Linked DNA regions of Coturnix japonica. The protein of the gene in region 4 purifies or fractionates together with the protein of the main gene of each other region. This does not show direct contact. Links are inferred from orthologs where the notes say so. Each region holds a gene or a part of one and is shown on either strand. Other genes may lie near its edges.

Region 1 (7,819 bases), on a different chromosome or scaffold from region 4:
CAGCCACCCCCATGGACATCCCCAGTATGTTCACTTTCTGGGAGGATCAAAGGCCAAACCATCACCCAGAGCCTCTGCAGCATGTCTCCTTGGTGCACAGCTCACGGGACATCCCCCTGCACAGCGACTACAGACCAGGGCAGATCGAGTCCAGGCTGGAGCTCCTGCAGGCCCAGCTCAGCAGGTAGGCAGGTCCCTGGGGTGGAGGGTTGAGGAGAACCCAGGGGGGGCTCTGGGTCATCACCTTCTGCTCTGCAGGGGTGGCTGCATCAGGTTCTGCAGCAACTTCTCAAACTGCACGTCTCACTGCAGTCGTCCATCTCATCTCTGCTGTCCTACCAGCCCTGGCATCTGCTGTTCTTTTTGAATAAAAAGGAAAAGCCTGCACCAGAGACACAGGTTTAAAGGCCCCAGGCAGCACCTACACAAATACTCCCATCCACGGTGCTGCAGATGTTAAACTCATTTCACTATCGTACCCATGTGTGTATTTTGGTGTCTCACCAAGCTGCCAGCCCCAGATCTCCCACCTACTCAGTGCTGCCAGGGCTATTACCTTCAATGAGAGCCAAGCCCACTTCTGCCAGAGCTGCTCATTTCCCCCAAGGTTAGGACAAGGCAGAAGGAAGACACTTATTCATTTTTACATTTTCTTCTATTACAGAGTTCAGAAAGGCTGGCACCAGCCCATCTTGCTCCCATCTGTCAGCACAGACAGCTGGCCTGAAGAACTGGTCCGGGTTAAAACTAACTATTGTATTTTCCCCACCTCCAGAGTAGTTTTAACTTTACTCAGTTCCCTGCTCTGGATCTCGGTTTGACAATGCAAAAAATGAGGCAGGGAAAGGCCGAGTGTGGCAGGAGAGAGGCAGCACCAGGCAAACCAGCATCATCCCCAGGCAGCCAAGTCAACACCTCTTCCTACCCAGGGTCTGGCTCTTGCAGGATGCACTGTGCTAACACCAAGCTGCTCTGTCCCCAGGCTGGAGTCCAGGATGTCATCAGACATTAATATAATCCTCCAGCTCCTGCAGCGCCAGCTGTCCCAAGTGCCACCCGCATACAGCCCCATTTCACCATCCTCTCACAACCTGGCCATGTATGGCATCGTCCCACGGAGCCTGGAGCCGCTCACCCCCTGTGCACCTCTGGAGGATGAGCAGCAGATGGCCCCAGGGCAGGTAAGGACATTCCTCATGGCTTAGCACCTTCTGGGCTTCCTTTTGCCTCCAGCTGAGGGCCAGTGGTCCTCTCCAGCCTCCTTGTGTGTAAAGCACAGCTAAGTTCCTTTGGGTCCAGGCAGATCCCAGTGGTCTCAAAGCAGGAGGTCTGCCTGGAGATGCTTCTGCCCAGTGCATCACTGATTTGTGGGCACAGGTTACCCAGTCAGTAAGGAGAGGGATGGATTCCTCTGCTCTGAGGCTTTCCAAGCAAAAAAATAACATGTGGGGGACCGATGGGGTGAGAAGAGTGCTTGCCTACTTTGTTTTGCTTTTGTCATAACCCACCTGTGGTTCCTCTTTTCCTATCAGAGCCCAAGCTACACGGAGGTAGAAAAGTTCCACTTGAAATCCAGGGACTCCTTGTCGAGTGGGCTGCACCTCACTGTGGCATCTGATGAAACCATGACGGTCTATTCTGAGCAGGAGCATCACTCCCCACCTCTCCTGAACCCAGAGCCTCCCCACCAAAGGGCACCAAACACCCAGGGACTCTTGCGGGGCTCACGTTTCCCTTCCCTCCCTGAGCACTTGGAGGCATCTTCCGAGCACCAGGACATTCAGAGACACCTCTCCGACCCAGTTCTTCCTGGAAGTTAGAGACATGGGGGCTGCAAAGCAAGTCAAGAGGAACCTCAACTGTGAGCTCGGTCAGTTGATGTTGATTTTGACTGCAGGGGTAAGACAGTGGACAATGCCATTGGCTCAGGGGTCTAATTTGTAACTGTCTTCTGCCACCATGAAAGGAAGCATAGCGTGGCTGGTTTCCAAGATCAACATTTTCCAGCGGTTCCCATAGAGTAGATTTAATTTGCACATTCTAGTGAACCCAGAGCAGTTCTTTCTTATGGCCACCAACAGGCTGGCTAGGCCAAACAGCACCCATCACCTCTTCCTTGCCGAGGCTTCCTCTCGAGAACAGCACAAGCCCAGTGAGCCACAGCATCCAGAGGGGAGCAATTGCACAGCTTCCAGCTGCAAGGCCATTTTGCTGTCAGCTCTTTGGAGCAGGGACCATTGTGTTGGTACTGGGCCTTGCCCAGTAGAGTCCGTGGGCACTATGAAAGAGTATTCACTGGAGGAGGAGGAGAGCTCCACAGTGCAGTACTGGGGAGAGCTGCAGGTGGGAAGCCCAGGACAAGGACAGATGCTCTCCCTGTCCTACCTGATGGCCACCGAGACACTAAGGGCCAACAACCCCTTCCACTTCAGCACGCTTCAGCACGAGTCCTAGGGCACTGACTTCTCCAGCAAGGCCAACTGCACCTTGCAAACCCCAACACACATCCCACAAATCCCTATATGAACCTGACTGGTCATCGACCTGGACATAAAGCACAAAACACAAAAGCACAATCCCGAAAAGCTGCAAAGTCCTAGTCACTTCAAGTCCAGTCCTTTCTCCCAGCTTCTCTCTTTTGATAAAGGTTTGATAGATGCTTCCTCCTCCTCAGCCCTTTTCCTGGCAGAATCCCGCAGCATCCCATAGGAGAAGCCCACTTAGCACTGCTGCCTTGCCATTCGGTTAGATGCTGTGACCGTCCTAGGCCGCCTGCTCAAGTAACATATTGAGCTCCCTTTGAGAGTAGTAAAACTGTGAGCATCTCTTTCTCTGGAGTTTTAGTGTACACTTTGCTAATAAAGATGTTTTTGGCACCTGATGTGAGTTATAGCTGTGTTTGTAAGGAGGATCACCACGGGAAGCACAGAGCAAGATGCTGACCTGTAAAGAGACCTGAAAGTCACTGAGAATCCTCATCCTCATCCCCATCCCCATCCCCATCCCCCCCAGGCAGGGCATAGATGTGCCTCTCCCCAGCTGATCTTTGGATGGAAACCCCCCCCATCCCGCAGCCCCCATCCCACAAAGCTACTATTTATATCCAAGCCGGCTCAGGTTTCAGCTCCTTGCAGCAGCTGGGACATCTCATCCCCCTTTCATGCCCCAGCCCAGATTGTCAGGAGGCCTCGGGGCTTTATGAGCAGCTGGGGGAGCGCCCATAATCCGAGCTGGGTCTGGGGTCTCCATGGGTCTTAATGGGAAGGGCTAGAGCCAGGCACCGGGCTTCAGCATGCCCAGGCGTTTCGTGAGAAGCAGTGCACAGCTCTGGGTACTACTCAACGCCGCTGCGTACAATTAGAAACGAAACCCCATAATTAAACGTCATGTAATTGTAGATAAGCTCATCTCCACCCGCTACTCGGAGAAGACGGGACTCGAACTCGCGACACAACTGAAAGCCCGGCTGGCTGCCCTTAACTGCCTCGGGTTCAGGTTGATTAGCACCGCTTCCATCCAATCGGATTTCAATATGGGGCGCAAGAACCCGCCTCCCGCCACTGCGACCCCCGGGAGCCAATCAGGTGTCGAGAAGGAGCGCGGCCTCCCTTCTCAGGCGTGTTCAAACTCAACGGTAGGTTATACAGGCAAGGAGGCGGGCTCTCTTTGTTATTGATGGTCAAAGTAACCAATACAAGCCTGAATTCGGCCAAACAGACAGGAGTAGCACCCAATAGAACCAATAGAAGTGTTAATTGACAATCAACACAGCCAACCAGCACGCAGAGGGCGGGGCTAATCGCGTGGCTTCCGCTCCCGTTGTGTGAGGGCCGAATCGGGAACGGCCTTCGCGCTTCTCTCGCGGTGTCCGGGCTCTGGAGCCGGGCCTGGGGGCGCGGCCTGCCCCGGTCTCTCTCCGGTCCCCGCTCCTTGGCCTTCCCCTCGGCTGGGCCCAGCGCTCCAAGCTCAGTCCAGGCCCCATCTCAGCTGAGCCCGCTGCTTGCTCCCCTCAGGCCCAGCGGGGCCCCCTCGGCCGAGCCATGTCGCTGCACGGCAAAAGGAAGGAGATCTACAAATACGAGGCGCCATGGACCGTGTACGCCATGAACTGGAGCGTGAGGCCGGACAAGAGGTTCCGTCTGGCGTTGGGCAGCTTCGTAGAGGAGTATAACAACAAGGTGGGCAGGGGGCGAGCCGGGGATGTGCCCCTCCGTAACAGGGGGTTGGGGGGCTGCAGGGAGCTGAGCTACGGGCTCTGTATTGGAGGCCGAGGGTTGGGGTTGGTGGTGCTGCTGCTCCTCAGGCAGGAGCTTTGACTTGAATGTGTGAGGTTGTTATTCAGCGTGACAGGAAGCTCACGGCCTGGGCTCGAGTTTGTACATACATAAGCTGTATGGGACTCTGTTAGTAATAGTGTGCTCTTGTCATGATGCTGTGTTTGTAAACTGCTCTCACCGGCTCCTTTGCTTATCTCTGATGACGAGGTTGTGTCTTTAGTCTTTCCTTCTATATCTAAGCAGGGAGGCTTACGCCCTTCAGACACCTGAGCCATCCTTCCTCAGCAACCTTTAATACACTCATCTCATGCGATGAACACGAATGGCAGAGAGAGATGAGGAAACAGACATAGCTGTAGAGCATCCTGGAGTCTGTGTGCAGCTAACAGTGCTGCCAAAGTAGTTCTGTGCATTTATATCATGTGTGCTTTGAAGCTTTGTCAGGCTGCTTAATGGAGAAAATTGTTTCAGAAGTTGGTGTTTTGGATTGGGCTTTGAGGTGAGGTGATGGTAAGGCAAGACTGGCATCTCTTACAGCAGCTAAACGAGTGCCCTTGCTGCAGCCCTGGATGGGATGCTCCTATGTGAGCCAATGACCTGGAAGGGAACTTACTCCCAGAAGAGGAGTAAACTCTTTGAAAGGGCTGACAATAGCAGGACACGGGGAAATGGTTTTAAGTTAAAAGAAGGAAGATTTAGGTTGGATGTTAGGGGGAAGTTCTTTACTAGGAGAGTGGTTCGGCCCTGGAACAGGCTGCCCAGGGAGGTTGTGGATGCCCCGTCCTTGGAGGTGTTCAAGACCAGGTTGGACGGGGCCATGGGCAACCTGATCTAGTAAAGGTGTACGTATGGTGGCCCTGCTAGGCAGGGGGGTTGGAACTACATGATCCTTGAGGTTCCTTCCAACCCGGATCATTCTGTGATTCTGTGAATTGCTGGTGAGCATTATGTGGTTCTGGGAATGCTGCTTTCCAGGCAGGTCTGAGCTTGCTGACTTTTCATTTGTTTAAAGACTAACTCCATCATGTTTTCTGTAGGTTGCGCTCTGAGAAGCAAAAGTAACAACCTTCCAAACGTGTTTTTTTGTTTAGGAGTGGTGGAACTTGTTAATTAGGGGTATGTTTCTGTTGCGTTTACATCCTTCTGTTTGGATCATTCCCTGGGGGTTGCTCCCAATTACAATGTGATCAGGTCTGCTTTTCATTTCAGGCTTCAAGTATATAAAGGCAGTTGAGTCAGCAACTCTTTCTATTTAAGAAAACAACAGCAACAACTCCCAGACTGAAAACTTTACACTCCTAGTTGCTGCAAACAGGAATTGTGCGGTACTGCATTAACTCCAGCTGTTTGTGAATAACCCCCTGAGCTTCTTTTGGTCTCTGTGCTTCGGGAATGGCTTGTTGTGTTGACTTCAGGTCCATATAAGCACCAAATGGTATGAGATTTAATTAGGGTATAAAGCAAGAAAGTAATTGTATGAGAATGGGGATTCCAGCCTGGATGCTGCTGCTACAAAAGTGAAGATATGTTCTTTACTTCTATTTTATACTGGCAACTTCTGACATCAAAATACACACAGTAGCACCAACTGGAAGGAAAATGGAAGTGATAATGGAAGCTCTCTTCCACTTTAACTCTCTCTTTGTGTTTTGAAGGCTTTTGATGGCTCCAAATGTCATTTCTGTTCTGTCCTTGCAGTGTTTTGTTCTAAGGAACTGGCTTCTTTCCTTCCCCCTGGAAGACCAGTTCAGAGTAGCAATTCTAGGTTTCTTAACATCTAACCAAATAAGTGGCTGTATCTCTTCCTCATTACCCTCCCATGTGCATTTTTAAAATGGTTCTTAGTGCATTAAATCTTTTCTAATTGCTGCAGCAGAAGCTCCTGGTTATTTTTCTGTTCCTGTAGTAATTACCAGAGCTCGAAATACTTAAGGTTTCATACATAAGATGGCTGTTTACACCTCTGTTTTGGGTGGATTCAGCTCAGTCAGCTGCCAAGCCATGACTTATTGCTGCCCCCAGCTCCCAGACTCTTGGAACCTCTGTCAGCTCTCCCACTAACAAGCTGTATGACATACAAGAAAGCTGATTGCTGAGATCTCTTTGAACCCCAAAGGAGTTTTGTTTCAGCTCCTACACCTGTGCTCATCAAATCACTGGTACAGAAAGAGAGATGACTTTGCTCCAGGGGAAAGGACTAAAATTATTCAGGCTAGGCTTTCCTGAGCTTCTTGAATCAGCAAACTGCTGTCAGGCTTCAGAATGCCTCATGGATCACAGGCGTAATAGCAGGGAGCTGAGGTGTTTGTACGTTCTGCTGTTAATGCTGCTTTGCAGGCTTTGTGGATCAGTAATGATCTGTGGAAAACAAGGAGAGGTTGATTTCAGGATCTGTCTGTAAGGCAGAACTCAAATCTGCTTCAGAAGGAAGCAGTGCTGCACCCTGTTCAGAGCAGGCTGCTGGGTTATGGCTGCATGCTTCCCCTGCTGTCACCTTCTGCATCATGCCTTCAATCAGAGAGCATCCAGTGGGGCAGTTTGACCAGGGAGCTGTTGTTGCTCTAAACCTGTGAGGTTTAGAACTTGCAAGCAAAAATGGTATGTTGCAGATTAAATGGTATGGCGAGAGCTGTCTCACCTAAAATAATTAGGGAATGTCATCTTTTGGATCATGGGGAAGAGAGTTTTTCAAACTGCTGATTAAAGGCACTTTTTTACTTATGTGCAGTGTTGCAAATCAACCTCATGTTAATAAGGTTCCAGATGTGATAGGAAAATCCACCTCCAGTTGCAACCGATCTCGGTGTGTAGGAGGAACAGATAATTATGTGGCATTTCTGGCTACTGTCACAGCATAATTGCAAATCCAATGGAGATTGAACACCCTCATTTTCCCACCAGAATGAGTTACAGGTAGATGTAGAAGGTTTAGATTGTATCATGACTAACAGTTCCTTTCCTCAGTCTTAGCTGGCCTAGACTTCAATTCCCAGCAACAGAAGTGAGTTCTCTGCTGCTTTAGATTTGCTTTGGTTATGGCTGTGTAATATTATGTTGAGCTGAAAACAGCATAAGCAAAGGAAAAGAAATGATTAGAAGTCTCTTGTCTTCTGATTCTGTCCTTGCCACAAGGTTTTCTGTGACCAAGGACAATTTGCTTCCTTTGTAAAATCTGCTTAGGATTTCTGATCCCTAAAGGAGTTAGAAAGCTTCAGAAGGCTGGGAGACACTTGGCGGGTTCATACGATTGCGTGAAGCATAATAAGGAGTAGCTGTAATGAAAAGAGTGCAAGGCAGACATCCAGCTAAGCTTCTAAAAACAGCCTGTATGTTTTCTAGGGGTCATTACAGCGTCAGAGAGATGCATCTTCAGTTTGACAAGGGAAAGGCTGGCATTTGTAAGGAGCATCTCTAAATGGACTTGGAACTGCTGATGTTACAATGGAAGGTCTGCTGAAGGACTTGTCTTGTTGGTAGATACAGTAGAGTTCCAGACTAGTTTAAACGTAGGTTATTAACCATATTGCTAATTGGAGAATATG
Region 2 (7,816 bases), on a different chromosome or scaffold from region 4:
ACACTGAAAACAAGCTGGGTATCTATACATAAAGCATGGCTAAAGGTAGCTGTCTTGTGCAATCAAATCAGAACTGAATTCTCATCTACTTCAGACTGCTGTGCAAATATGCAGCCAGAGCCTCTATAAGCCCGACAGAACACAGAATGTTCTGCAAAGAGGGCACTACACTCATACTGCAAGTATTATTCAAATACAACACAACAGCTATGTTAGGAGAAACAAGGATTAAAGACAACAGCAGGTTTTGCCAGAATTTGTTTTATTATTATTTTTACATACAGTCACAAACTTTAATGTGAAGAAATAGCAAAAGAACTAAAGCAACTCAAACTGAACAAGAATGACAAAATTTCCTATTCAACTTAACAATGTAACCAAAGTAGAGGCTATACGTAGTTGGCATGAATGGTACAGAACATTTTCTTAGTAGCAACTTACAGGTCATATTGGCCAACTCCTCCGTGGTCCATGCTCTCACTTAATTGACCCTGGGGACAGGAGTAGAAGGAAGATTAAATGCAACATAAGAAAGCATAGTTAAAAATACATGTCTTTTACAGCTTCTTTACATGTGTGAATATGTTTACACATATAGTTTCTGTTACATGTGCACACACATATATGTTTATGTATATATAACTAAACAAGTTTAAATATCAAGAATCATTAATTATGAGCAGAAGACAACAAGCCTAAAAAATACAGTCCAAGAGTTGCAACGCTTCCACATAGCTTAAATTCTGATGCAGGAGGTCTGGTGGTAATCATAGCCCAGTAGTAATAACACACTCTGGTCCTGTATGTATTTTCTGATCAACAATCATTCAGGCAGATTAATGCACAAATATTTCTAAAAAGGCTCAAGCACTTCAACAGCAGGACCAGACGCCATTAAAGAATGCAGTTCAATTTTGAAGGCATATTTTCTTCAAACAATTTTCAGCTGGACCCCTAATGCAAGATAATACCTCGCTCTAAATGTGGCTCTACATGGCAGAAGTGCAAAGCAAGCAGACAGCTGGAAGGAATACAAATAGAATTTAATGGGCAAGCTTCTAACAAACTTCAGACTGTGACAGGTTACATTTTCAGTTTTAAAAATATATACATAAAACAGCAACTGCGAGTCAGTGATGAACAGCTTCAAATCTACAGCCTGGAATCCACAGCCAGAATCCTGAATGAAGTTCGAGTCTGATTCCAGGACAGAGGTTTGCTTGCTCACATCCCCTTGCTAGTGTTTATTAGAGAAACCCAGCCCCCTGCCATCTGTTTCACAACAGAACCAGCTAAATGTGCCCTTGACCCAACCATGAGACAACAAGGAACAAATTCAAAACAGCCACCAACTCAACAAACAGAATAAACACCCATCGCGTTCCCAGATGAATTTCAGTGTCCTTCAGATCCTTCTAAGATACGCACAATCACTACAAAAAAACACCTTTTACTCACACTTTCCTCACGCTCACATGTTCCCCTCTCCCCAGTTCTGTTTTAATTTCAAGTCCACCCTAATCTCCCCAGAGGCACCTAAGTACTGCATTAGGTTGCCACTGTGCACAGAAGCTGGGCCACAAGGATTTTTGTGCTACTCTTAGAACCTGTTCTTGGCAATGCAGGTGCTGTGTTGCAACCGACGTTTGTAAGCCAGGTCCTGTATTGATTATTGGGATAGCAGACAGCATTTCTCCCACAGCCTGAGCACTGCCCTGCCTTCAGCCAGCAGACTCTGCAGCTCACATGCAGTGTGATATTGCAGCTGTACTTTGGGGTGTCTGCTAATCCCAATGACTGGTATTCAAATAGCATAGCAGGAATGCAGCAGCTTAAGCACTAGCAAACATTTAATATATACAACAACATATAAAAGCAACGGTAGCACTAGAGCTAACATAAATAACACTAGATACTAACAGCGACCACGCAAGAGGATACCCGAAGGGGCCTTAAAAGCATCTAAATGAGTATGATAGAAGAATAAATACAGATGACGGAGTGACCCATGTGGGGACACGCTCAGACCCCGGACAGCATTTCAAAGCTTTGCTTTTGATTTTGGCGCCAGAGCGATGCCTGCACGCAGCTCCAGAGAGACGAGAGCACAGCCGCACTGACGTCCCCACATGTGACACCAAACCCCGCTGCCACGCTCGTGCTACAAAACCCACCGCGAACATTTCAGGGTAAAACTCTCCGCCGGAACAAGGCCGCTATTAGCGAGCGGTGCAGCGGAGGTACCGATGGAAGCACCGCAGGGACGGGCCGGAGCTCGACGGGCCGCAGCCGGGGCGGGGCGCGGCCTCACCTGCGCGGGCCCGGGCCTGGGCCTCCGCCTCTCTTCGCCTCAGCCGCTCTGGCCGCCTACAGCCGCCTACAGCCGCCCCGTCCAGCCCCGCCGCCCCCTCATTCCTCCCCCTGTCTCCGCTCCTCCCTGCGGCCTCCCCCACCCGCCCGCTCCCCGCTCCGGTCGGTCTCTCCTCTCTCACCCCCTCCTCCAGCTCCTCATCCGAACCCGCGTCCTCGGGCTGGTCCAGATCGATGTCGAACACGCCCGCCATGGCGCGGGTGTGAGCCGAGGCGTGGCCGCCCCTTCCTCGCTGCGCTGAGTGCCCGAGGCCTGGGCCGCCTCATGGGCCCGCACCCCCCAACTCCGCCACGGCCGCCATCACGGCCGCCCGGCCTCACTGCGCATGCGCCCCCGCCCCGGCTGCGGGCGCCGCGCGTGCGCACAAGCCCATCCTGCGGCGGCAGGTGCCGCACTGAGCATGCGCGGCGAGGGCCTCGGCCGGGCGGCGGGCGTAGAGCTGAAGCTGAGCATGCGCAATATGAGCCCACCTCCCTCGCTCCCGGTACGGAGTTTGCGTAGATTGCGCAGCGAAGCCGCGTGCGTAACGCATGCGTAGTGCGCGCTGTGAAGCGCCGCAGCCCGACGCTTGTGCCCGAACTGCGCCGAGTTCCCTCTGAGCATGCGCACTGCGGGCTGCCCCCAGTGAGGCGCGGCGGGCAGGGGGCTCGTCAGCCTTGAGGAGGGGCCATAGTGTGTGGAACCCGCCCAACCCACCCCCCTGAGCCGGCATCGACCTGATGAGAGGTCGGGGAGGGAGGGAACGGCGAGGAGGAAGGAGCTGGGAGGGGAAGGGCGGCCGAGAGACGTGAGGGGCGGCCCGACAATATGGCGGCTGTGGGGAGCGGGCGGGAGATCGCGGCGCTGTGAGGGGCCCTGTCAGCGCCAGGGGGGCGGGAGCGGCCTGTGCGGGGAGAGAACCTTTGTAACATCGGTTTTTTAACCCCCCATCGTGCTTTTCTTTTGTTTAGGGCCAAACACGAGGTGAATTAGAATGTCAATAGTCACAGTCCAGCTTGGGCAGTGTGGTAACCAAATAGGTCAGGAGGTGTTTAACACCATCTGTGGTGATGTCCGTGGCACGCATGGATTGTGTTCCAAGAAGGAGAACGAAGCCTACCACCATGCCTGTACAGAACGGTTTTTCAGCGAGGCAGAGTCTGGAGGTACAGCCTTTAGGTGCTCTGTGTCCCACAGAGGATACAGCCTTTAGGTGTTCTGTGTCCCACAGAGGATACAGCCTTTAGGTGTTCTGTGTCCCACAGAGGGTCTGTTTTCCTGCCTGGTACTGACACCATCCAAGTTCTACCTTCAGTCTGGAAGAACTGTCCCAACCTTCTGCCTTCCTGACACTGCTTACAACTACAGAAGCAAAGTCACAGCTGGTAGAGTAACTGAGGCCCCAGAGCACATCTGCCAGTAACAGAGCTGGAGACAGGACGTGTATGCATAAATGATCTGCTCTTCCAAACATCTGCTTTTCCTGCTGTAGGCAGATAGCACCGCTGAGTAGGGCCTAGACTGTTTGAATCTAGTGTTATCAAACAAATTGAGACATTTCTTTCCCAAAATATCCATGTCCCTGTTATTTGGATCTATCTTTAGTATTATCCGTGGTTTTCTAGAAATCCAGGACATTGCCACATCCTGTTTTCTGTTCTAGTTGAGCTTATGTGGGTGGATGGAATACAAGTTGGGCCATGATGCAAGTCTGTCTATCTCACATAAACTAGTTGTTATATCAGCACTTAGTTTCATTTCTCTTCCTTATACAGTACCTGTTGCCCGGGCTGTGCTTGTTGACATGGAACCTAAAGTAATCAGCCAAACTTTATCAATAGCTGCCCGGTCTGGCCACTGGAAATACGATGATCAGTCACACTTCTGTCAGAAACAAGGGTCCGGGAACAACTGGGCAAATGGGTATGAATCATCATTTCCAGCTTCACTAGCAGAAGTGCAGGGGATATGAACTGTCTGTGCTCTCTAGGAGTGATACTGTTGCAGCTGTATGGGAAACATTGTTTAACAACTTAAGGTAGAGAAACAGTACATACAGCAGCAACATTACTACGCTGCTTTTTGTAAACTGAAATTGGTATTTACAGGGATAATGTAATGGTTTAGAATATGTTTAACAATAGGTTATAAACAGCTGTTTTGCAAAATAAATGCCACAGCTGAGGATTATTTACTACAAGTAGAATGAGTGACACAATGCCAAGTTATATCCATAATACAAATAAAAGTAGCCTTTATAAATAGGCTGACCTTACTGCCTCTACATCACCTGCAATTTTTTTTTCTTTATTCTACAGTTACTCTGTTCATGGGCCTAGAAACAAAGAAGTAATCATGAATCTGGTACAAAAAGAAGTAGAGAAATGTGATCGACTCAGTGGATTTTTCACAATAATGAGCATGGCTGGTGGTACAGGTTCTGGCCTAGGAGCATTTGTGACTCAGTGTTTAAGAGATGCTTTTCCAACCTCGTTTATACTAAACCACGTTATCTGGCCCTATGGCACTGGTGAGGTGAATGTCATTTTTCCCAGAGATATTTTGCAAGATTACAATTGTGATCACAGAGGACAGGAAACTTAAATAAACGGTTTGCTTTTTATGAGTAAAACAAAATATCTGCAACTGAAATAAACTAGAAAAGAGAAACACTTTATTCTTTGAACATTCAACATGATGCAAAGCAATTTGTTTGCCTCATATTTGGCATGTGTTGTCTCATTTTTAATCAAAATGTTCAAATTCATCTAAAAATCATGGATATCTCAAGCTTGTAAGAAAACATTTAAAATCTACTTATAAAAGCACTATGATATAATGCAGTTTCATGAGAAGCTCTACTAGCTATCTAGAAATCTCCTGTTATGACAGTATCAGAGCATGGCAATCAGTTCCCAGACAGGTTTCATTCTGAACTGAGATGAGTAACATGATTTTCATAGGTCTTGCTCCATTTCCATGAAAAAACTGTGCCAGCTCCTGACCTTATTCTGCCCTTTGGCAAAGAAAATGAATCACTTCCTTAAGCACAACTGAGTAAATGACAGTAGCCATAGTAATATATTAAAATGTAGAAAGAGATCAAGTGGTTTGACTCTCATTTGTTTGGTTTTCTTTTTCCTTTTTCCAGGTCATTGTTCAAAACTACAACTCTGTTTTGACTCTGTCACATCTGTATCAGTCATCAGATGCTCTTCTTGTTCATGAAAATGATGTCATCCACAAGATCTGTGCTCAGCTGATGCATATTAAACACATCTCCTTCAGGGATGTAAATCAAGTCATTGCACATCAACTGGGGAGTGTTTTCCAGCCTGCTCACACAGCAGAATCTGGCTTACACTACAGCAGAAACCCCTTAGGTATCTAACTGTACTATAGATACTTAAGGCTTTCTCACACATCTTTCTGTAATCATTTCATTTTTGGGAATTTAAGTTCTTCAGTCTCTTTTACTCAAGTATCTGGATATAACCCAAGGCTTAAGATGGTAAAAAAAGATAGGAAAGCAAAAGACTAAGTTAGTAATTCAACCCTAATTTTATAACAGAGTCGAAAATAGACACCCAGCTTCTGGTTTCATTCTTTACCAAAAGACTCATGTTCCTCCTTTTTCAAATGACTACCCCCCTTGTACTTACTTACCTTTCAGAGGAAATTTCTGCCAGGCAGTAATTTTAGACTGAGTTTTAACATTTAACATTAGAAGTTTGTACAAACAAAATGCTAGTTTTGTGTTTAGCTCAGAAGATACACTAGCATGCAACTTGGTAGCAGCAAGCAGCTGGCTTGCCAAGAATCTGCTTGTAAAATGAAGCTCTCATTTTCCTTTCCATCTCTTCAGAAGTATAGAAGGTCTTTAAGATTTGAGTCAGATTCAAAGGAGGACAAGTCTAAATTGGAAAATAAGAGCTGTTAACTTGCTTGTATGAAACTCAGTGGCAGGTTGTAAATCTTTGCATTTTGTCAGATGCGTCTGTGTATTTGTTAAACTGTACATATTCTGCTTTCTTACCTTAAGTTACTAGATCTCTCTAAAATTCCTCATGCTCTTCTCCTTTTTTAAGTAGCCTATGCAATATTTCTATCAAACATGAGCATCTGTCATTTCTATTTATTTTTCAGGAGACTTAATGGAGACGTTAGTTCCACACCCTGAATTCAAGATGTTGGGTCTCCGTAACATACCTCAGATGCCTGAAAACTCCCTCGCATATAGCACATTCAGTTGGCCTGGGCTCCTCAAACATCTGAGGCAAATGCTCATTGCTAACGCTAAAATGGAGGAAGGTAAGAAGCACTCATTCATCCATCACTCTTTAAGTATCCCTCTTTACAGCTGAAATAAAGCTTACTGTTTTGTGGTGCTCACTGACTTCAGTCGCTCTGTTCAGAAGCAAGCTGCTGCCCTCAGACAGCAGGAATTTGCCTCCACATAGCCAGCTGCTTCTGCACTATTCACTCAGCTGCCACTCTTGGCTTGCTCATGTTTTTGCTCCCAGACATCTCAGTTAATTATAACTATTGAAATATGCAAAACGACAGTTTTTGGTCGTGCACTTAATTTACATGATTCAATTTGGAACATCTTTTGAATCATTTGTTTTGCTATGCTTTTTCTTGGTACACCTACTAATAAAAATCATATGCTCAGCTTTCCGATATCATTTACATTGAGAATTCAGCAAAGCTTCCACGTATGCAAAGAATGGGCTGGCAGATTGCTAACTATAGAAAAAAAAGTATCAGTTTCTCTGCTAAGATTAGTGACTACCAGGAAAACACTGCTGGCCAAGCTTGATTTTCCTCTTAGAATTGTGTAATTACTGCTTAGCCAACATGCAGAAACTACAAACCCTAGTGTGAACTCAGCTTGGGACATAGAGTTAGTCTGAATCCATATTTCATGAAACATTAACTTTGTTTTATATCTTGTTTGCAAAAATCTTGTAGGTATCGATTGGCAAGTACGGCCACCATGTCCAGGCTCCTCCATCTCCTCCAGTCATTCCATAAACAAGCTGCTGCATTTCAATACTTCCATTGCCAACCTGGTCATCCTGCGAGGAAAAGATACGCACAGTGTAGACTTAGGTGAGAAGGAAGAGCACAACAACTCAGTCATTTGTTTCTCATCTCAACTGTTTTCTTTGCATGAAAGTGAAAATAAAACAAGGTCATATACTTGACTAATAAAGTCAGTATTACCTCTAGAAGGATTTTAATGTGTAATTAGTTAGGACTGCTGTATTTACAGCTAAGACTTCTATATTAACTGAAGAGCTGTAGGGAAGGACAAAGAGACTGAAGTGTGTTTATACAGTAGAATTCTTAGGAATATTGTCTGAAAATATATTTTGCTGCTTCTGGAATGACAAGCATACCTCACATAGGAAGTACTGACAGTAGAGTACATCCCTAGGTAGTATAACTGTTTCAAACATT
Region 3 (7,876 bases), on a different chromosome or scaffold from region 4:
CTCTTAGAAAACAGGTTTTCACTCTGCTTGTAGTTTAGTAAGATGGTCCTAACCAGCTCTTCTCTGTGAGATGCTGTGAAGTCTGTGAGGCAGTACCTCAAAGGCAGACTGATCCCACTACACTTGCGCCAGATCCCATTTTCCCACTCAATAGCAAATCTCAACATCCACTACAAACAGAGAGAAAAGCCTAGGAACCTTCTCAATGGAAAGCTTTCACTTCCAATGAGTTGGTTAGCAAAGGCCTGGGAGTTTCTTTAGTTATTCCACACCAATAGAAAGAAGCAAGAAAATCACCTCCACCAACAGCACAAGGTTTAAGTATGCCCCCTGTAGTCAGTATGACAAGGAGAAGAGAGTAGTTTAGTCTCCTGCAAGAGATAGCTCATTGCAGCTCCCCAAACAGTAAGGTGTTAAAGCAAAGGGTAATCAATTCCTAATGCAGAATTAACCTGCAAGGTGCTGAACTAACTGAGTTCATGATAAGCATTCACACGAACATGTCTTGATTCCTCTGCCTGCTCTACAACCTTTACCTGGAAACATATTATAGAAGTAAACAAGCAGATTTAAGAAGTTATGTGGGTGGAATGCTAGATTAAGAAAACGACAAGGCAATCACATCTCTGTGGAAATGAAGCTGTGGAAAGGAGAACAGAGTTGCTTTCCAGGAACTTTTATTACAATCTTTAAAAGTACATTATAAAAACAGTGGAAAAAACTACAAAGAATTAAACAAATTAGAGCTGAGTCCCATTATAAGTGCATAGATCAGACCAGAAAAAGCAAGTTTCACTGGCTACCGGGCTGTTCCTGAGACACATTAGTACTTTTGGGCGTTCTCTTGGGAAGGAGCTGGGGAAGGATATTGGGCATAACCCCTCCTTGAGCGATGGTCACACAGGAGAAGAGCTTGCTCAGCTCATCATCATTCCTCACAGCCAGCTGAATGTGTCGAGGCAGGATCCTGGCCTTCTTGTTGTCCCGTGCAGCATTCCCTGCCAGCTCCAGGATCTCTGCAGTCAGGTATTCCAGCACAGCAGCCATGTAGACTGCAGAACCAGGGCTGATCCTTTCAGCATAGTGGCTTCTCTTAAGGAGCCTGTAGACTCGACCCACAGGAAACTGCAGACCAGCCAGGACTGACTTTGCTTTCTTTGGTGCAACTTCAGGCTTGCCAGCCACTGCAAGTTTCTTCCCCCGTCCAGACATTCTAAATAGCACAGAGAGACAAAGAATTGGAGGTTTTCACACTACCCAGGTGCTTTGGATACAGGTAACTGATAACAAGAGGAGATAACAGCAAGGATAGTTACACTTTCCACTCTTCTATACCAAGCAGAAAGCTTGTAGGAAGAGCAACCTACTGAAGTTCATTAAGAATAGATCTAGGATAACTGCTACTTAACAGCCAGTTTTTGAATGAGCCAGAGTGGTTTGAAAAGCAATCAGTAAAACTTACTGAAGCAGATGCAAAGAGCTCAAAAAAAAGTTTCTCAGTATTTAGAGTGTACTGGAGATTGAGGCAAGATGGAGGCAGGACCTCACACAAGGTTTGTCTTAAACAATAACTTACCTCAATACTAGCTAAAGACCAAGGCTACCCCTTTTTTCCAGGACTCTGCATTCAAACTTCTGTTATTACATTAGATTTTCTGAATTTGTATTACATACAACACCTCAAGCACTCACACAGCCCACTGTAGTCTCTAAACTCATCCCACAATAGATTCTGTAACTGCCATAAGTCTATGGAGGCTACTCTACATCAGAGAGAATGAATTAACTTTGACAACATACATGATAAACATAGATATTACTGTCAGTTTACTAGAACTCTAATCAAGAAATTCAGTCCAGCTAAAGAATATCCACAGTTAAAGTAGAAAACATACTTAATTCTCTTATTTACTCAGACTTAAAATACTACTTCTAGCACAACTGTTTATAATATACAAGAACATCTATTATTAGGTTAATATAGTTTGTGTAGCTTTTAAAAAGAAAAACTTAAGTATTTACAAGACAACAGAATAAAGTTTAAAAGGGAAGAAGCAAAACAAAAAACCCACCCCATAACAAAGCCTAAGCCAAGCCAAAGCTTATTACCCCCACCAAACATTTTCTGATAGCTTACACTGCAGATATACTATGCTACACTCACAGTTTCTCTACAAAGTAACCCCAACTTTTTCCCTAAGCATCAGAGAAGAAAAAAAGATATCCTGTTACCTTCCAAAGAGCTGTTGTAGCCTAATCTTCACTTTGCTATAGGCCACAGTCAAAGACAAACAATCCTCAGGAACCCATTTCCCTTAGCCTGGAGCAGTGCCTTTTATGAGCAAGATTTTCTCCCCATTAGTGGGCTCACCTGGACAATTAATGAGTCATTCCCACATGTGGCTCATCTTCCTCCAAACACTTGATTGGAGGGAAAAGGAAGAAATACAGACACCCTGAGGTAAATCCTTCTTGGAGGGGGCGTGGAAGCCCAAGTTGTCTTCAAGGGCTAAACTACACCTGTAGCTCAGTCTTTGTGATAATATCAGCTCTTAGTTGTTGGGGATGGAATGTTTCTGTTCATGTACCACGTGTAAAAATTAATCCTCACTTTCCTGCTAAGGCTTTAGATAAGTATATAGAGGAAATGTGAGTTTTAATCAAGTTGTGTGTGGGGAGGAAGCAGAGTACTGTGGGTGCCTTAGGCAGAGGAGGCCCTTCAGCACCTGAAGTGATGTGAAGGGGATGCTTCTAGGTGTGAGCTTCTCTGGTAACTCACAGCTTAATCTGAAAATATGGGCTTCTGGTGCTTGGGGTCAGGGCAGGAACTCTTTTCATTCACCTTGTAAATAATGAGTGTACTCTTTCTGCTTATGCCCTTTTTGTAGTTGTTTCTAGGTGCCCAAAACAGGTTCCAAGAGCAATGTGCAAGAACCATGCATGTGAATGGTATTTTCAGCTTCAGAAGATGAATATTTAACCAGCAAGGGCCCTCTTAAAGCTCAGGCCCCAACAAAACATTTGTACACTGAAAGCTATGGAAACAATTAAGCCTTCTATTCTGCTTGCCGGGTGTTAACTGTGGGTCAGAACTAAAATACTGTGATTTATAGAGAGGGCCTGCAGTAGATTCACAGAATCACAGAATTGTAGGGGTCAGAAGGGACCTCTAGAGATCATCGAGTCCAACCCCCCTGCCAAAGCAGGTTCCCTACACCACATTGCACAGGTAGGCGTCCAGGCGGGTCTTGAATATCTCCAGAGAAGATATTCACCACTTAGACAACCCCAGCTTCCACAATGATGGACATATGGTGCACATAAACATTGAGTGTTCCAATCCTCCAGGGCTATAGGACACATTCCATGCATCCAAATATTCATTTTAATGATCACTGTCAACTGCAGCTGTGGCTATCAATCTCAATGTGACTCAAAGTGACTATCTAGGTATCACCAGAGGGTGGTCGGGCACCTCAGGTCAGTGATCACAGCCCTGAACTGCTGGATTTCACTCCTTTCTCTCTCATTTGGAAAGGACTGTCTGGATTTTCACACAGCTCGCTTGCAACAGGCAGACGAGAATCCCTCAGAAACCCACGGTCTGTAGCTGTCTGTCACAGGCTCAGCATCACCACAGCAGAAGGAACCGAGCCCCCAATCGGGCCTATACCGAACTGACGGCAGGCCCTGCCTTATTAGGCGCTTATTAGGCTCCGGGAAGCGGCAGTGGCGACACCGCCCTCGCCCCGCCCCGTCCGCCAGCCCCGCCTCGCCGCGCCGCGCACGCCGGGACCGGCCCTGCCCAGCCCCGCCGCTCCGCAGGCCGCTGTCCCGCAGGCAAGATGCAGGTGAGAGCCGGGGGTCGTGGCGGCCTTGCCCGGCCTTGACCCAGCCTCATAACGCGGGGGAGCCTGGTGGAGCGATGTGCGGAGCCGTATAGGCTGCCGGCCCCGGGTCTTTCCGATGCTCCTCCCCGAGCTGGGCTGCGGCCGTGCATGGCGTTGTGGGGCGCCGGGTTGGGCTCTTGTCTCTTAAAGGGCAGTATGCGTTTTGCTGTTGAAGTAAGCAGGTGGGTGCGTGGTTTAAGCACTTCTGCGTGTTGATAGATGACAGGAGTCATCTATTTTAGCCTTGAGAAAAGAAGGCTGAGAGGGGATTTGATCCAGGTTTATAAATACCTGAGGTGTGGGAGCCATAGTGGTGAGGCTGGTCTCTTTTCAGTAGTGCGTGGGGACAGGACTAGGGGTAATGGGATGAAAGTACAGCATAGGAAGTTCCGCATGAATGTGCGGAAGAACTTCTTTACAGTGAGGGTGAGCCTGGAAACAGGCTGCCAGGGAGGTGGTGGGTCTCCTTCTCTGGAGATATTCAGACCCGCCTGGACGCCTCATCGTGTGGAGTGGTGTAGGAGCTGCTTTGCAGGGGGTTGGAGATCTCTAGAGGTCCCTTCCAACCCCTACAATTCTGTGATTCTGTGAGTGTTGAAGAGCCCTTAGTGCACAAGTAGTGTGTCTTGGGAAGCCTTGGTGTCAGGAGAATGTGTGCTGTGACTTTATGATGTTGTCCGCATCCAGATGGTTACACTTCATCACTGTGCTATGTCTTGCTTGAACGTACCAAAGCTCTCCTAAATACCAGTCATCCATTTCTTGTTTTACTGTAGGACCCAGAGAAAGACACTGAGTGGAATGACATCCTGCGTAAGAAAGGGATCCTTCCTCCGAAGGAAAACCGAGAAGAGCAGGAGCGTGCAAAGGAAGAAGAGCAGTTTGAAATCCTTCAGAAGTCTCTGGGTGAGCCCATGTGCCTGTGAAGCAACGTGTCCTCTTCTTAACCTGTGAGGGATCACAAAGTCACAGAATGACCTGGGTTGGAAGGGACCTCAAGTATCATGAAGTTCCAACCCCCCTGACTGGATACCTGAGCTAATTCTTCTGCAGGGCGATGTGTCTGTTAACAGTATCAGACAAATACGTTCCAGAATATATGGCCTCTTCCAGAGCAGGAAGACTCTCTTCTTGATGACAACTCCATGATTTTGAAACATATACAATTAAAACAAGAACTGTCTCAGAGGAGTATGTCATATGAATGTACAGATAAAACACCTCACAAACATTGTATGTGTACTCCATTATTCAGCCATCCCTGCTGTATTGTATGTTTGTGCTGAAGTCACAGAGCTTGAAAGCTAGCTGTGGTATTTACGTATCAGTGTAGCCAGCCTTTGGCTTAGAATCACCGTTGTCTTTACATCTATATGTATAGAGTACATAATGTTATCTGAAAAGGTAGTGTAATGTTGGAGGGGAAAAAAAAACATGTCTCATACCTAAATTCTGTTCGACTGAAAGGCTGATGAGTTTTGTTCCCAGAATGAGATACTTGCTGATATGATACTGCTTCTTTTCTAGTGAAAACATATGAGGACATGACTCTGGAGGAGCTAGAAGAAAATGAGGATGAATTTAATGAGGAAGATGAGAGAGCTATTGAAATGTACAGGTTAGAGCATCGTGTGGAACTTGCTTTATTGAAATCTTTCTTATTTTGCTTGTGTATCTCTTGTTATTTCTACCGTCCGGCTTCATAGCATAGCATCTGCAGAGGAAACATCAAATTCCTTTCATGGAGCACAACTGTATTTGCTGCATATTGATAGATTGAATATGTGGTGCAAATATAACAATGTCTGTAGCCTACTTCAACTTGCTTTTATCACTTTGGAGTTTCAACGTGTTTGTAACCTGCCTCTAAGTTTCAGCCAGATACTTTTAATGTATCTATTTTTAAGATCTCTTTCCCATTCTTTGTTGTTCCAGACAGCAAAGATTAGCAGAAATGAAAGCGGCTCAAATGAAGAATAAATTTGGAGAAGTTTTGGAGATTTCTGGAAAGGATTATGTTCAAGAGGTTACAAAAGCTGGGAAAGGCATATGGGTAGTCCTGCACCTCTACAAACAGGGGTAAGATCTTATTTAACCTCTAAACCTTTCTTGGCTCCTGACAAACGTGTAGTTAACGTGGAAACTGAGGAACTCAATGTGGAGTTAAGGGAGTTACTAGTAATTTGCTTTCTGTTGGCTTCAAGAGAGTTGAGCTTTGCTGTTAAAAGGATGTTACCATGAAGTGATGCTGCTGGTATCTTAATTAAAAACGAGCAATTAAAGCAATTAAAATGAACAAACAAACCAAAGATAAACCACACTAAGTTTACTTAGTGGTACTAAGTTTATTTGGATGCTGGAGTATTGAACAACAGAAGTAGTCAGAGGTTGTTTCTGGTACATTGATCTTCCCACTGAACTGTTATTTCTGACTGGTTTGTCTTCTGGAGAAGATTGCTATCAGATGAGTCTTTTTTAGTTCTTATGTGTGTCTCTGTCTGTTCTTGGCAGAATTCCACTCTGTGCCTTAATAAACCAACATTTAAGTGGACTTGCAAAAAAGTTCAGAGATGTGAAATTCATCAAAGCTATCTCTACCACCTGCATACCCAACTACCCCGACAAGAATCTGCCTACGATATTTGTCTACCTTGAAGGAGACATCAGAGCTCAGTTCATTGGGCCTTTGGTGTTCGGTGGCATGAACTTGACGAGGGATGGTGAGTGTCTGCATCCATCTGCTGTGAATATCTTTGTGGGAAACTAAAGAAGTTATGTGAGAATAAGGAGAATGGAGATCACTAAGAGCTGCATGATGATAATCGTTATCTTCCCTCCCCACCTTTTGGCTCAACAACACATGATTGAAGTGATATTTTAAAAGCAGCAAGTGTAGGCCAATGTAAAGGTACTTAGAAAGCTGTGGTTTGCAGGTTGGCAGGGAATAGTATCATAAAGTTGTGCTTGGAGACAGTTGTGCAATGGAAAAGGCCCTACCTGTTGGAAAGTAAGTGGAACTGATGCAATTCCTGGACTTAATTAGAGGTAAAGGGATACTTGTTGGCTTGTCAACAAAGAGGGAGAGAGTATGGCCCTGGTTTTGATGATGTTCGTGGTAGGGTGATAAGAGAAACCATCTGGAGAAACAAGTTGGGAGGAACTGAGGAGTATTGTCAAGATCTGATGTCCTTTTCTCTTTTGAGAGTAAATCAGAAAGGTGAGGAAATGTGTGTCGAGGTAAATTAATAAGCATATATCAAAAGGAGTCAGAGATGGAAATCAGCCTAGTTTGCTTCCCCATATTCATGGCACTCTTACTTTGCTCTGTGCAGAACTGGAGTGGAAGATCTCGGAGTCAGGTGCCATCAAGACAGACCTTGAGGAGAACCCCAGGAAACAGATCCAAGACCAGCTCATGTCCTCCATAAGGGCATGCGTCCCAACCAGGGGAGAGAGTGACTCAGAGGATGACTAACTCCTACATCAGCATCGGGGTTGATACAATACACTTACAGACAGTGTTCCTGCCCAAAGGACTGGAGGTGCTCATCAAGATCTTCCTGAACCCCAGAAGGGGAGCATTTCAAGGCACCTTCACTTGAGATTGTAAAAGACTTTTTGTATTACAGAGCCTGAGTAAATCTTACTCCAAGTTTTAAAATACAGGTATTGGTAGATACTAAAGTCTGTTGTTGTTATTTTATTAATAAACTGCTGACACTTTATTTTAAAGCATAAAATATGATCTGGCCTAAAGTGTAATGGTTTGAGTGTGTTAGTATAAATAATTGATCTTAAACATGGTGAGTTACAGCATGGCACTGAATTTGGCCTTCTGTTAGCCTGCCCTGTGTAGATGCTGGGTGGAGAGTGTGGGCGGTGTGTAGAGCTCTTCAAGGTAAAGAAGTAATGACTGAAGTCTTAGTTCAGCTCTATCTCTTCCTTTCCTGAATTACAGCTCTTCTGACACTGAGCTGTGTGCTTAT
Region 4 (7,124 bases):
GATTGTATCTTTGCAAAAAAAAAACCCAACAAAGTATGTTGGAGAGCCTGGTGTGTGATGCTTTCTCCTCCCTGTATCCTATCCAGATTTGGCCTCTTGCTCTTTCACTTCAGGGGGCAGTGTTGGGCAGTGTTGTCCTTCTGCAGAGCTTGTGAAAGCAAACCAGGGCACTCACACATGGAAAAAAAACAAACCCTGAAGTGCAGGGCTGTGAATGAGAAGTATCCGTCTTCAAAGGATAGAAATGGGAAAGACATCAGAGAGAGAACAGATTGCTCCATCCCTTGATCTCGAGATTGTGAATAGCATCTTTCTCTGTGGTGTCTTGAGGGATAGAAAGGAGATGATAGAAGCTGGTTTTGTGAACAGGGAGAAGAAAATATTTGCTGCTTATTTGCTTCAAAAGTGGGTTAGTCAAAGGAGACAGCTGTTGGTGGGAGCTTTGTAAAGGAGGGTTCTCAAGCAGGAGGTTTCCTTTGGGAGTTATTAAGTCTGCTGAGAAAACCCTGGGATGTTGAGCCTGACAAATAGCCCTTCTCTTCAAGGATTCCCAGCTGGTGGCCGGAGTTGCCTTTAAGAAGACATTCTCTTACGCTGGGTTTGAAATGCAGCCCAAGAAGTATCAGTCTCCCAAGATTGCTTTGCTGAATGTGGAGCTGGAGCTCAAAGCTGAAAAGGACAACGCTGAAGTCCGAGTAAACACAGTGGAGGTAAGAGCTGGAATGGGAGCCTGTCCCCCTCCTGTTTGTCTCCTGGGCTGTCAAGGAGCTGGGCACTCTGTGATTGCCATCTGCACATCTTCCCTCCTGAGGTTATCTTGTGTGTTATGCTGGGGGAATAGTATGAATATTGCTACCTTTTACTCAAGTCATCCAGCCCCTTTATATCCTTGGTTCTGCTGCTGGAAGCACTTGAACAGATGTAGTTCTTTGTCATAGAATGACCTAAAATTTCCTTGAGAAAGCAGTTGGCTGCTGTGGATGGCTGCGTGGAGCAGCATTACTGCTGCCTTTGCTTTAGCAGAGCTCTCCCTTGGCTGGTGCTGTGGGGTGGCATTTGCAGTCCCATTACAAATCCTATTAATGTGTATTGCCTGTTTTTCTCATGCCTGCTAGGATTACCAGGCCATCGTGGATGCTGAATGGAACATCCTGTATGACAAACTAGACAAAATCCATAAGTCTGGAGCCAAAGTCGTCCTGTCCAAGCTGCCCATCGGTGATGTGGCCACCCAGTACTTTGCAGACAGGGACATGTTTTGTGCTGGCCGTGTCCCAGAGGAAGATCTCAAGCGAACTATGATGGTGAGCTGCTTTGTTTTGGCATAAAGACTTTGGATTTAGCTTGAATGTTGTCAGGCTGGTCAGGCCTCTCCCAAACCAAAACAGCCACGAGTTGCTGAACACACTGTTCCTTACAAGGATGTAAAAAGGAAAATAACACTCATTTTTTTTAATGTATTTTTTGCCCAAATGATGATGATGTAGAACTGCAACATAGTAACAAAACTATTCCTTGGTGGAAGAAATAACTGCAGGCTGATTGCTACTGTGCTGCCTTTTTTCCTCTGCTGCTGAATTGTATAAGGGTCTGTATGTTGTGTGTTGGTAGAAGTTTATTTTCCCTGCTCCTTGCCTGTTTTCCTTAAGCCACCTTTGTGTAGCTACTGAACTCTGGAGCCTGTGGCTCAGCTTTTAGTAACATCATCATCTTTTGCTGTCGAGGGTTATTTCTATTCCTGGTAGCCTGCTTAGATATATGATGGGAGGAAACTAGAAAGTGGGAGCCTGCTGGGCAGGTTTGTCTCATTTGTCAGCACTGGTAATGCCACGCTTTATCTTCTTCCCCTGCAGGCCTGTGGTGGTTCCATTCAGACCAGTGTGAATGCCCTGTCAGATGATGTACTGGGCCGGTGTGAGCTCTTTGAGGAGACTCAGATCGGAGGAGACAGGTAAATGTGCCAGCTGGGAACACACAGCCCTGTGGGAGCATGGGTGATACTGGTTTGGAAAGTTGGGGTATGAGCGTGAGCAGCTTTGAGCATCTCTCTGGGTGATGGTGTGAAAACAAAGGTTGCATGATTAATTCCTTTAATGAGCATGGGGAATGAGCTCTCATTTAGGTCTTACCCCTTTTAGATGCATTTATGTTTCTTTATTCCTCAAGAACCCTGTAGAAGGCTTAGTGGTATTTTCATTCGTAACTCCAAAGCAACACCTTTTTGGGGTCTTGTATATGGACTTGCTCAGCTTTGGATCTTATGGGGTCACTGTGGGGTGGGACAGCTGCAGCCATGCATTTGGGTTGGGAATAATTTCTCTGTCCCCGTGTGGTGTCCCAGTGGTGCTGAGCCTGTTGAGGAGCAGCACTGCTTTTCAGTCTCCTTACCCTTTCTTGTGTCACGCATTGACAGGTATAACTTCTTCACGGGCTGCCCAAAGGCAAAGACTTGCACGATAATCCTGCGTGGAGGTGCAGAGCAGTTCATGGAAGAGACAGAACGGTCCCTGCATGATGCCATCATGATAGTCAGGAGAGCTATCAAGGTAAGGGCCAGCAGAAGCAATTCCCTGCTGGGGTTGAGCAGACACTGAGGCTGTTGATCACACCCGGCACAGCTGCAGCTATTTCCAGCAGTGCCTTCACACCTCAACGTTTGGCTGAGGTCTCTCTGAGAGAAACCCAATGCTCTCAGCCTGCAGAGTGGAGCATGCAGACAAGCAGTGTCTAGTTGATTAACTCAAGTGCTATTCCTTGGCTACGGCAGAATTCTCACAGCTGCATTGCCAGCTGCTTTTCAGGCATGCCTGGTTTTGTCTCCTCTGTTACAAGTGCTGTGACTTAACTGTGCTTGCTGGGTTGTGGTGTGTTCTATAAACACCTTCACTAAGAAGGGGGTTGGGATCTTTTGGGAGTGCTGGGTGGGAATAGCAGGGCTGATCTAATGTGCCTGTTAGCTTCTCAGTCTCATGTGTGCCTGTTCATGCTGCATGTTGCCTCTGTTGGTGACTTCTGGGAAGGGCTGGTGTTGGCAGGTGGAGGTGGGCAGGTGACACCAAGAGGGAAGCCTGAGGCCCATGTGACTGTACTGTACTTGCAGAGTTGCTGGTCCTGCATGATGGCTGTTCTCTGCATGTGGGTATTTCTGGGTTGTGCGTAATGCGTGGGGATGGGTTTTTTTTTCCCCCTTAAGCCTGAGTGCCCTGAGGGGATGGGAAGAAGCATGTCAAGATTTTTTGGAGCTGCTTTGCTTTCAGAAAGAACATCCTGATCCTTTCTACTGAAGCAGATAGGGAGGGAGAAAAAAATAGTTAGCAGAACTTGGCTGCTGAGTGCTGCTGCAAATCTCGTCTGTTCTGAATGTTTCACAACGGGGGGGAGCTTGTCCTGCACAAGGGTAGCTGAGGTTTGCTAGCACAGCCCTGCACACCATCCCCCTGGCTTGCAGGTGGCAGGAAGGAGCTGCTGGCAGAGGCTGCCTGAGGTGCTCCCAGGGGGGTGGTGGTGGCCTGGGCAGTATAGATTCCCCTGGGCCTGATGTATGTGCATTACCCCAGCATGCTGTAGGCCTTTGGGAAAAGGGGTTTTCCTGCTCTTCCCCCTTTTGTGCAACAAAGAGTAAGCACAGCCTGTTCTCTTTCCTTCCAGAACGACTCTGTTGTCGCTGGTGGCGGTGCAATAGAGATGGAGCTCTCCAAATACCTCCGTGACTATTCCAGGACCATTCCAGGCAAGCAGCAGCTGCTGATAGGTGCTTATGCTAAAGCCCTTGAGATCATTCCCCGCCAGCTCTGTGACAACGCTGGCTTTGATGCCACCAACATACTGAACAAGCTGCGAGCCAAGCATGCACAGGTAGGTGCACGGCTGGCAGGGAGAGCCTGCAGAGCTGGTGTCCTTTGGTTGGGTTTGTGGTGGGCTCCTGTCCTCCTTCATTAAATGCCGTGGTTTGTTTTCAGATACAGTGTAGGCTTGAGGCAGGTTTCTATAAAAGGAAGTGATATGTTTTCCCTTTGATCACAGCTGTCGGATGACTTTTTTAGAGCTGGGAGTTCTGATTTGCTATTTAAAAATGCATCGTTTGTCAGGAGGGAGGCTTCTATATTAAACATTGAGGTAATTAGTATAAAAGTTACCTCTGTGATGTGTTTTCTAGAGGAGCTGCAGACTGAAGGTCCTGATTGCTTGAGATCGTTGTCTCTTCATGAAGGTCTTCTCTATGAAGAAACGTTGAGGGAACTGAGTTTGTTTAGGTCGGAGAAGAGAGGGCTTTGGGGAGACCTTATTGTGGCCTTCCAGTACTTGAAGGGAGTGTATCAACAGGAGGGGGGATGGCTGTTTATGAGTGACAGGACAAGGGGAATGGTTTTAAACTGAGATGGGAGAGTTTAGGTTGGACATTAGAAGGAAGTTTTCCACCCAGAGGGTGGTGACGCACTGGAACAGGTTGCCCAAGGAGGCTGTGGATGCCCCATCCCTGCAGGCATTCAAGGCCAGGCTGGATGTGGCTCTGGGCAGCCTGGTCTGCTGGTTGGTGACCCTGCCCACAGCAGGGGGTTGAAACCAGGTCATTACTATGATTCAGGTGAGCTGCAAGACAGTCATGAGGTCTTCTACAACTTCTTGGTGAAGTGGAGCAAACTTCCCATTTTAAGCACTGTTTTCTAACAACTGAGGCTTCATCCCCTATTATAAAGGAAGAAAACTCAGGGAGAATACCTCAAGCTCTTCTCCCTGCCTCTCCTTGAATGTTTGCATGTCTTTTACTTCCCAGTGCACTGCCTTCAGCTCCTGTTATGCCATGTAACCAGACCCTCTTCCCTCCTCTCTCACAGGGAGGCATGTGGTACGGTGTGGATGTGAACAACGAGGACATCGCCGATAACTTTGAGGCCTGTGTATGGGAGCCGGCCATTGTGCGCATCAACGCGCTGACGGCTGCCTCCGAGGCCGCCTGTCTTATTGTGTCAGTAGATGAAACAATCAAGAACCCTCGATCCACAGTAGATGCCCCACCTGGTGGCCGGGGTCGGGGTCGGGGCAGACCCCACAACCACTGAAACTCTGCTCTGTGGCACTGTCCTGACAGGGCTTGGCGCTCGCTTCCAACGTGCAGATTGGGAAAGAGTTGGTTCCTAGTTTTAATTAAGAGGCCGTTTACCAGATGGTCATTTTGAGGGCTTGCAGGTAACCTCTGGCCTTGTTTAATTAGAGTCAAATCTTGGCGTTGGCAGTGGCAGCCTCCTGTGAGGTGTCGTGGTCCAGCCCTTCCTGCACAGCACTGATGCCCTGAGGCTCACCTCGTGCTGATCAGAGCCCTCTCCAACACTGGTGGGTGTGCCTGGGCTTGGTTGGTATTTATACGTCTTTCTGCTGGGGGTTTTGAACCCAGGTTCAAACTCAATAAAACTATGGCAGAGTTTTGGTGGCCGGTTTGGGTTCTTTTCTGAGGTGGGAGCTTGTTTGGGTAGCTTGCAAACTGTTTTCTACCCTGTAATTAAAACTCAGGGTGTTGGGAAGCAGGACTGACTCCCAGTGCATAACAGTGTTTCTAACACAGCTCATCTCTACGTTTGTTCATAGAGTCACTGAATCATTCAGGTTGGAAAAAACCTCTTGAGATTCCCAGTCCATCCACCTGTGCTCTCTGACCATGTCCCCAAGTGCCACATGCTTGTGATTCTGGAAAACCTCTATGGACAGTGACCCCCTTCCCCACTCCCTGAGCATCCAGTGCTTGTTCCAAGAAGAAATGTGCCTAATTCCAACCTGAATGTCCCCTTGTGTAACTTAACCCCACCACCTATTAGGAGAAGAGACCATCCCCACCTCCCACAACCTTCCCATTTACATCTATTTGATGCTGGTCAGTGCTATTTCAGTTCACTTCATGAGCTCTGTAACAGAGATGGTGCCCTCAACAGAAAGGGAGCTGGGAGGAGGACTTGGCCTTCCTGGTTTGTTGCTGAGCGCTCAGGGTGTGCACTGATCTGTGGCTCACTGTGCCACCCATGTGAACCAAGACCCCCCCTCCTCATTCATGAGTGCCTTTATTCAACGCCGAACGATAAAATAGCTCTTTACACCCTTCTTTTTTTCTTCTTTTTTTTTTTTCCTGTAATTCTTTAAATACACATTGTTTACACTCGGCAAAGTTTCAAAGCAACAACATCAAAGTGCGTCTACAGGTGATAGTACCAACCAAAGTGCTAAAACCACGGTCTGCTGCAGCAGCTCCTTGGGGGTCACCTCCTGCTGCCCCCAAGGTCACCCTCGTGTCCCCTCCTCCAGCATTGGGGTCAGGGTGACCATGGGATGGGGGATAGGGACGTTTGGTTCTCCAGACACTGGCACATCGCTGCGAAAGACTAAAATAGACCTAGATTTATTATATAGAGTTAAAAAAATAACTTAAGAGGCCAACTCGCTACCTTCCAGGAGGGGACACGCTGTGCAGAGCGCCTTGGACACGGCTCTCCAGGGCTGAGTTGCCACTAGGAGAAATGCTTGAGGGAAACGATTGCCATTCTGGGGATATACCTATCTGGGAGTGTGTCCTCTGATTATCTCAAAGCAATGTGCGTTGCTGCCTCACTCCCCAGAGCAATCCCACCCACTCCTACCATTGCACATGCCTGTCCCCGGCCCCAGCCTGGGGCTGGATCAGAAAACCCCATTTTCCTGCTTCTGGGCAGTTCTCTCATCTCTTTGCTGCCTTGTGGCAGTCATTCGTTGCCACTGTTCTCTTCATGCTACCATCCTGCTGCGCTTTGGTTTGCAACAAGCCATTTCCAGCTGCTAACATCACCCTGCTCCCCGTTCTTTAGTTCTTTTTAAAGCATTTTGTCATTTGGCACCGGCTCCCAAATGCTTCACTCCACCCGAACCTGCAGGTTTTCAACCCAAAATGATCACACACAAGCTCCCACGTTGCCAACTTCATCTTGGCTCCTCTTAGAGCTGAAAGAACTGCATTGAGAGGAGCCTTCATCAACATTTCTCGTGGCTATTTTTGGTTTGTTTAAACCTAATTCAGACCTTTTTGGCCACGTAATTCCTGTGCCTTGCGACCTGTGAGCCCTGTCAACGTATGGGATGTTTTTCCTTTGCTACCTGCCTTGTTT

Evidence for each region.
Region 1: the proteins of CCT7 (region 4) and DCAF7 purify together in Homo sapiens (affinity purification with mass spectrometry; 4 studies listed by BioGRID and IntAct, counting the BioPlex papers as one, with this or other methods). This does not show direct contact. The link is inferred for Coturnix japonica from reciprocal best matches to the Homo sapiens genes CCT7 and DCAF7.
Region 2: the proteins of CCT7 (region 4) and TUBD1 purify together in Homo sapiens (co-immunoprecipitation; 3 studies listed by BioGRID and IntAct, counting the BioPlex papers as one, with this or other methods). This does not show direct contact. The link is inferred for Coturnix japonica from reciprocal best matches to the Homo sapiens genes CCT7 and TUBD1.
Region 3: the proteins of CCT7 (region 4) and PDCL3 purify together in Homo sapiens (co-immunoprecipitation; 4 studies listed by BioGRID and IntAct, counting the BioPlex papers as one, with this or other methods). This does not show direct contact. The link is inferred for Coturnix japonica from reciprocal best matches to the Homo sapiens genes CCT7 and PDCL3.

Annotation. Positions count from the first base shown.
Region 1 is NC_029542.1:2,155,625-2,163,443, forward strand, and holds the start of DCAF7 (DDB1- and CUL4-associated factor 7), read left to right. Parts: upstream 1-3,799; 5' UTR 3,800-4,040; coding exon 4,041-4,178; intron 4,179-7,819. UniProt on the Homo sapiens protein: Involved in craniofacial development. Acts upstream of the EDN1 pathway and is required for formation of the upper jaw equivalent, the palatoquadrate. The activity required for EDN1 pathway function differs between the first and second arches.
Region 2 is NC_029534.1:6,129,965-6,137,780, reverse strand, and holds the start of TUBD1 (tubulin delta chain), read left to right. Parts: upstream 1-2,936; 5' UTR 2,937-3,097; exon of another isoform or gene 3,098-3,158; intron 3,159-3,212; exon of another isoform or gene 3,213-3,228; intron 3,229-3,321; 5' UTR 3,322-3,344; coding exon 3,345-3,516; intron 3,517-3,615; exon of another isoform or gene 3,616-3,793; intron 3,794-4,125; coding exon 4,126-4,273; intron 4,274-4,668; coding exon 4,669-4,885; intron 4,886-5,501; coding exon 5,502-5,733; intron 5,734-6,496; coding exon 6,497-6,661; intron 6,662-7,324; coding exon 7,325-7,465; intron 7,466-7,816. Other genes in the region: RPS6KB1 (ribosomal protein S6 kinase beta-1), read right to left, coding at 442-491, 2,493-2,564. UniProt on the Homo sapiens protein: Acts as a positive regulator of hedgehog signaling and regulates ciliary function.
Region 3 is NC_029516.1:119,999,867-120,007,742, forward strand, and holds PDCL3 (phosducin-like protein 3), read left to right. Parts: upstream 1-3,744; 5' UTR 3,745-3,845; coding exon 3,846-3,851; intron 3,852-4,666; coding exon 4,667-4,796; intron 4,797-5,417; coding exon 5,418-5,508; intron 5,509-5,825; coding exon 5,826-5,969; intron 5,970-6,401; coding exon 6,402-6,610; intron 6,611-7,222; coding exon 7,223-7,365; 3' UTR 7,366-7,632; downstream 7,633-7,876. Other genes in the region: histone H2A, sperm-like, read right to left, coding at 793-1,212. UniProt on the Homo sapiens protein: Acts as a chaperone for the angiogenic VEGF receptor KDR/VEGFR2, increasing its abundance by inhibiting its ubiquitination and degradation.
Region 4 is NC_029519.1:81,261,024-81,268,147, reverse strand, and holds the end of CCT7 (T-complex protein 1 subunit eta), read left to right. Parts: intron 1-545; coding exon 546-710; intron 711-1,115; coding exon 1,116-1,304; intron 1,305-1,853; coding exon 1,854-1,951; intron 1,952-2,413; coding exon 2,414-2,546; intron 2,547-3,648; coding exon 3,649-3,855; intron 3,856-4,835; coding exon 4,836-5,060; 3' UTR 5,061-5,424; downstream 5,425-7,124. UniProt on the Homo sapiens protein: Component of the chaperonin-containing T-complex (TRiC), a molecular chaperone complex that assists the folding of actin, tubulin and other proteins upon ATP hydrolysis.